Linked DNA regions of Oryctolagus cuniculus. Each later gene encodes a partner of the first gene's protein in a complex. Links are inferred from orthologs where the notes say so. Each region holds a gene or a part of one and is shown in the gene's direction. Other genes may lie near its edges.

Region 1 (3,652 bases):
GAATCACCAAATAAAGCTATTAATTTTAGTTTGTATTTTAATTGCTAATGGAGAAACTTTTTTTGGCATTAGATGAGTTGGTATAAAGGCTCAGATGGAAAAACAGACATGCAGGAATGGTCAGGAAAACATGAAAGTCCTGAAAAGCTGCAAGAGGGAACTGGCCCTAGCAGACGTTAAAACATTCTGTAAAGCCTCTAATTGAGACGGGATGGTACTGGTGCACAAAGAGACATTAGATCAGAGGGGTAGAACAGAAAGCCCAGAAGTACATCCAAGGAATAAGAAATTTAGCATATGTAAATCACGGGGCAAAGATGGGGTTTTTTAAAATTAATTTATTTGAAAGAGTTACATAGAGGAAGAGACAGAAAAAATTTCCATCCACTGGTTTACTCCCCAAATGGCCAGGGCTGGGCCAACCCAAAACCAGGAGCTTCTTCCAACCCAAAACCAGGAGCTTCTTCCAGGTGTCCCACATGGTATAAGGGTCCAAGCACTTGGGCCATCTTCTGTACCTTTCTCAGGCACAGGGAGCTGGATTGGAAGTGGAGCAGCTGGGATTCCAAGCAGCACCATATGAGATGCCATCCTCGCAGGCGGCAGCTTTGCCTGCTACCCCAACAGCGCCAGCCCTGAATATGAGCTTTCAATGAATGATGCTATGACAACTGGGTAGCCATTTGGAAAAGAGTAGAATTACCTTTATGCTTCACACTATACATACGAAAAATACTCCATATTATCAGGGATTTAAATGAAGAAACAGTGAAAGCCTACACATTCTAGAAGAAAATGTGGATGAATTCTTCGTTGGAAGAAGAGACTTTCTGCCTGGAAATCCAGAAGCAATTAAAGAAAAAATTGCTAAGTTATGCATAAGTTTGGTGGAACACATAGCATTTCATGGGGAAACACAAGATATTTCCAAGAAGAGAGGAACAAGGCAAAGATACTGGTATCCCACATTGTAGAGATTGAGCCAGAGCAATGAGAATAAGAGAAGTCAATTGTGAGGCAGAAGGATTGGTGAAGAACAAATACAGTTGACTTAATTACAGATGATCTGCTAGTAGAGGTTGAGTGTCCCATCTGAAATTCTTAGGACCAGAAATATTTTGGATTTTAGGGTTTTTTTGGATTTTAGAATATTTGCGTATATAAAATGAGATGTTTTGGGTAGGAAACCCAAGTTTAAAAATGAAATTAATTTATGTTTCTTGGCACACAGTGAATGTGTGTATTATATCTTTATATATTTTGAAAGTCATGTATACAGTGTTCTTAGTGCACCTGCATTTTGACTGTGATTTGTCACATGAGGTCAGGTGTGGGATTTTCCACTTGCAACATACTCAGAAATTTCAGATTTTACAACATTCTGGATTAGGAATACTCAACCTATCTACCTAGAAAAGTCTATGATAAATGTAACTTAAGTGATAAATGAATTCAGTAGGGTAGCAGGATATAAAATTAACAGAAAAATCAGTAGCTTTATTGTTCATGAATAATAACCAGCTAGAAATGCAGTAGCAAAACAGAAGATGAAATACGTGGGAATAATTAGAAAGAGAAATGTGCAAAACCTCTAAGAGGGAAACTTTGAAACACTCATGAAAAACAACAAAACTAGACTTGACAGCTCAGTGTTATGTCAGTTATCTCTGTTAATTTACAAATTTAATGCATTACCTCAAAAATGGCAACAAGCTGTTTCTATGGAGTTAGACAAGTTGATAATAAATTGACGGAAACACGAACATGCGAGAATTATTAATGGGGGTCCTTTTCTTTAGGATAACTGGGATGATGATGACGACGAAAAGAAAGAGGAAGCAGAAGTAAAACCAGGTGAGCTACTGGAGCTCCTCCATTTTTGGTTTTGTCTTGGTAGGCATTTGGTGCTTAAGTTAAATGACAAAATTGAAAATTTTGGCATTTAGACAGGAAGTATTCTTTCAGTCCCACCTTAATTCTCTTTTCCTTGCATCTTTCTGTATTCCCTCAAACTATGAACAGTTGTGATATCTGCTGTTTTTTTCCTTTGTGTGACTATTATTAGGAGAGTGGAGTGTCTGGCATTTTAGTTCAAGAAGCTTAAGTCCATTCTAGGGAGTGATCAGGAAATAAGAAGGGAGATATAGGCCGGCGTCATGGCTCAGTAGGCTAATCCTCCGCCTTGCGGCGCTGGCACACCGGGTTCTAGTCCCAGTCGGGGCACCGGATTCTGTCCCGGTTGCCCCTCTTCCAGGCCAGCTCTCTGCTGTGGCCAGGGAGTGCAGTGGAGGATGGCCCAAGTGCTTGGGCCCTGCACCCCATGGGAGACCAGGATAAGTACCTGGCTCCTGCCTTCAGATCAGCGCAGTGCGGCGGCCATTGGAGGGTGAACCAACGGCAAAGGAAGACCTTTCTCTCTCTCTCTGTCTCTCTCTCACTGTGCACTCTGCCTGTCAAAAAAAAAAAAAAAAAAAAAGGGAGATGTTTGGATTTTAGTGATCACATTAAGGAGGAGAAGGAGAAGCTCCAGAACTTTTCCATTCTTGTCTGCCAGGAAATCAGCATATGAACCGGAAGCCGAGAAAGGTTTAGTCTCTTGAAATATACAAATATCATGTCTATCTCATCCATAGACTGGTAAATATTCAGTGTAACTGTGAATAAAACATTTCTTTCAGAAATAAAAATTTCAGAGAAGAAAAAAATAGCAGAAAAGATTAAAGAGAAAGAACGGCAACAAAAGAAAAGGCAAGAAGAAATTAAGAAGAGGGTAAGTGCTGTTTTTTTCCTAAGATACAGAATTCTCATGGCAGTTTTTGTCGTGTCTTACAGCCTGTGAGTACTACCTGTCAATTTGAAGGACTCTGTACAGACTGTAAGTGAATGCCTTAAGATAGGTGAATCCCAAAACAGACTGCTGTGTGGTTACTGCAAAAGCAGAATGCAGAACTGTCATGTATTAGATGCCATTTAAGTTTTACAGACATTCAGGAATAGTCGTGACTGCACAGTGACCACAGTCAATGATTTTTGCCCATGTCTGCAGTTCTTTGTAGTCATTGTGTGCAGTGTACATACTGAGTGAGATACAAAAAGTATCTGTTTCTGTGCTGTTCTTGGTTATTTGAAGCAGGATCAGGAATATTTTTCTTTTTGAATAGAAAACACATTTATGTGGCTCAAAAATAAAAACACTATTAAAAAGCACTCACAACCTTTTATTTATAGAACCTGTATCTCTCTGTCCACCCTATAAGTAGATAGTTTTAAGATTATTTATTTGAAAGGCAGAGTGAGAGGGAGCGATGAGAGAGAGAGACCGCCCATCCCCTGGTTCACTCCCCAAATGGCAATGATAGCCAGACTAAAGCCAGGAACCCTATCCTGGTCTCCCACAAGGGTGGCAAGGACCCAAGCATTTGGGCCATTTTCTGCTGCCTTCCCAGGCACATTTTTTTTTTTTTTTTTTTTTTAACAGGCAGAGTGGACAGTGAGAGAGAGACAGAGAGAAAGGTCTTCCTTTGCCGTTGGTTCACCCTCCAATGGCCGCCGCGGCCGGCGCACCGCGCTGATCCGATGGCAGGAGCCAGGAGCCAGGTGCTTCTCCTGGTCTCCCATGGGGTGCAGGGCCCAAGCACCTGGGCCATCCTCC
Region 2 (3,652 bases), on another chromosome or scaffold:
TGGAGCCTTTAGACTCCAGCTTCCTGCTAATGCGCACCCTGGAAGGCAGCAATGACAATGACGGCTCAAATACTTGAGAGCCTGGCACCCACGTGGGACACCTGGGTTGAGTTCTTGGCTCCCCAGCTTCAGCCAAGTCCAGCTGTGGCCACATCAGATGTTTGGGGAATGAATTCACAGATGAGAGGAACTCTCTTTCTGAGTCTCAAAATTAAAAAAAAAACAACAAAGTTAATAAGAATTCTAATTTCTGGATTAGTACAGATGTTAATTCAGACTTTAGAATCCTGTAGTAAAAGTTTATTGTTGAGATGATTGCTTTATCTATTTGTTCATTTTAATCCTTATTTTGTAGGGGCCTATATTGCTTAATAAATGTTAATACTAAATTTTAAATTTCTTTATCAGTTTTCTATACCTGAATATATCCTTCACAGGGGACATTTGACATTGCCTGCAGACATTATTGGTTGTGACAACTGGAGGGATGTTACTGTCACCTAGCAAATAAAGATTAGGGATACTGTTACATACTCCATGGTGGTGGGACAGTATTCCCCTCCCATTCACCAGAGGAGAATTATCCAGCCCAGTATACTGATGAAGAAACCCTGTGTGTAATACCAAAAGCACATGGGTTGCTCTCTGTAAGAGAAACCTCAGTTCAGTTATTACCTGCTACATTCTCATTAACTTCCAGCATCTGATCCCCAGCCCAAGGAAAGTAGTGTGGAATTGATAACATTTTATTTCTAACTTTTCTTTAGCTAGAAATAGATTTATTGTTTGGTTCCCAAAGGAAGTGTATTGCCTTAGTCAACTTAGTAATATTACTACTGAAGCCTTTTGCATTATTGGAAATGCTTAAAAATCTACTAAAAATGAATATTACTGTTGTGACAATTCATACCTGCCAATATATACACTTGAGGAATTGTAAGATTTTATTTGTGTGAAAGGCAAAGTTATATATAGAGAGAGAGTCTTCCCTCCCATGATTCATACCCCAAATGGCTGCAAGGACCAGGGCTAGTGAGGGTGATGCTAGGTGCTGGAAACTCCATCTGGGTCTGGGTCTCCCATGTTGATGACAGGGAGCCAAGCATTTGGGCCCTCTTCACTGCTTTCCCAGGCCATAGCTAGCAAGGAGCTGGATCAGAGGCAGAGAAGCCGGGACTCTGCCCGAGTTACGTTATGAAATGCTGGACTTGGAGGTAGCTGCTTAATCCCTGCCTGGACCAAAAGGCTGAGTGAGGGAGATAAAATTTGTATGTAGAATTAATTCCTGCTACTTTGTACAGTGTATGTATTAGGGTTTCTTATCAGAAATCTAACCTCAGAAAACAAATACCATTCTCAGTAGGTTACTATTAAGTAGACTGCTGAATTTACTATAAAAATAGAAAAGTTAGAATGTTCTGGTTTTATAACCTAAAAGGCATCTAAAACCCTTAGACATGATAAAACTGAACAAATGATTTTTAATTAGAGCTAAAGGAATCGGAAAATATGTTGTAAGATTTGTAGATCTCTTATGTTCCTTACATTCAAAATTGAGGTATTCTCTTTGTATTAAATCTATAAATATTAATGCACATTTTATATATTAAATATTCCAGAAGCCTTATTTACAGTGTTTATATAATAAGATATTTAAAGTGACTTTGGACAAATAATGACTTTCTTGTGGTATATGAAATATAGTAATTTTTGCTTTTATTAAGGGATGGTCGAATGCTGTTTGATTACCTGGCAGACAAGCATGGAGTAAGTGTTTTTTAAAAATACTTTCCAGTTGTCATGTTTTAATAAGGCTGATTATAATCTAGATTTTTAGCAGATAGCTTCATGGCTTGACAGAATAATTATGAAATTTTTAAATACATCTGGTATGTTTTTGAAACTTTAGTTTTAAATTGGTGCTGACAGGAAAATATATAGTTGTGCTCAACTTTAGGTAACAGAAAATTCTCAAAGTTTTTGATTTGGTTATTCTGGAATTATTAACACCATTATATGTTAGTGCCAACAGCAAGCTAAATATTTTAGGGCACAGTCTACCTTTTCTTATGCGATAAGAAAGAAACAGAAGCAGAGCTAAATTTGAATTAGAATTGACTTTGAGCAACAGAGTTAAGTTTTGACATTTTAAAGGACTTCATAAATTCCCAAATTCACAAATAAATGTTACAGGCTTTCCTAGCGATCTCTCAATTCTCTTTCTCTTGTATTAACTCAAAGTGGGAAGTTCTGCAAATAATTAATTCTTTGTTAGATTCAAATTTTATCTTGTCATTTAACAGTTTCATAACAAGTTTGCTAACCCTTGTGCAAATTACTCTTTCTGGTTAGAGTGGATTTGTTTATGTTCTAGTTTGGAGTCCTATTAGATTTCCTCACTTTCACTTTGCTTGCATTATTAATTATAAAAGTCAGTGTGATTTTGGGACCCATTTTCACAAGAACAGAGATTTGTTGTTATTTATACAGAAATAGGATGCATATGCTTGATAGTTGGCTAATCTCAGTCACAAACTAAGGAGCATACACACCAGACCTTCAGCTGTAATTCAAAGCTGTATTACAATAGAGTAGGTATCATTACAATTCATAGTTTTTGAGGTCAAAACTGAGCATTAAATCGACCAATTCCTAATTGTATACTCTAAGATCAAGTGAGCAGCTTTTAGAAAACTTTAAAATAGTTTATTTCTTCAGGATGTTTAAAGCAATAAATGAATGGAATTGTAAAACTAGAAATTAACATACTTTTTTTTTTTTTAGTTTAGGCAAGAATATTTAGATACACTCTATAGGTATGCAAAATTCCAGTATGAATGTGGGAATTATTCTGGAGCAGCAGAATATCTTTACTTTTTTAGAGTATTGGTAAGTACTTCAATTTGTTTCTTTGCTTTCTGTTTTGTAGGGTACCCTGGGTTCCTTAAAACATGTGTATAGATTTGGGTCTATCAATTAAGTTTTCAGCAGTTGCTGATCAGAAAAATAAAGAAATTTTTTCCAATAACGCAAAAACCCAATAAAAATAAATTCTTAGGTTGGAACCTCAAAATTTGAGACTACCCATAAAAACTGAAATTGAACAATAAATATGCCACTGATGATAACTGAAATATTTGTCAAATTGAAAACTTGAAACTTAATGAGTTAATATTATTGAATAAGTTGATCTTAATTTTAATTCGAAGTATATATTCCTTGAACTTGGTCTAAACAAGTATGGAATCCTATTGGTGTTTGAAGTATTTTATACCTTAATAGTAACCATTTCTATTTACTTCTTTCTTTAGCCATTAGAATGTAAAAATCAGTTATTTGATTTCACTATGTGGGGTGTAGATAAGTTTGAATGGTACTGTTCTCTCTAAAGTGCCCTGATTATTATCTTCATTTGTCTATTTGATAAATTCCTAGATCCAGTGCTTTTGTTAGGGAAAGAGTGGTTTGAAGCCAGATTAAAAATCAGACCTTTAAATTGACAGACTTCTTTCTTATTCTGTCTTCTGTTTAGGTAATTATCTTAATGTGTGTTCTAGAGTAATCAAAATGCCTTTCTTATTACTAACCTCTCATTTGAGAAACTATAATTTGTTACTTATTCAAAGGTAGCAAATTGTTAGCAAATAGCTCA

What was found. Proteins that work in one complex are often made in the same cells at the same time.
Region 2: EIF3J (region 1) and EIF3E share a complex: the UniProt entries of both Homo sapiens proteins name them as parts of the eukaryotic translation initiation factor 3 (eIF-3) complex. The link is inferred for Oryctolagus cuniculus from reciprocal best matches to the Homo sapiens genes EIF3J and EIF3E.

Annotation. Positions count from the first base shown.
Region 1 is NC_091443.1:67,483,340-67,486,991, forward strand, and holds part of EIF3J (eukaryotic translation initiation factor 3 subunit J), read left to right. Parts: intron 1-1,799; coding exon 1,800-1,854; intron 1,855-2,678; coding exon 2,679-2,770; intron 2,771-3,652. UniProt on the Homo sapiens protein: Component of the eukaryotic translation initiation factor 3 (eIF-3) complex, which is required for several steps in the initiation of protein synthesis.
Region 2 is NC_091437.1:133,451,663-133,455,314, reverse strand, and holds part of EIF3E (eukaryotic translation initiation factor 3 subunit E), read left to right. Parts: intron 1-1,724; coding exon 1,725-1,767; intron 1,768-2,784; coding exon 2,785-2,889; intron 2,890-3,652. UniProt on the Homo sapiens protein: Component of the eukaryotic translation initiation factor 3 (eIF-3) complex, which is required for several steps in the initiation of protein synthesis.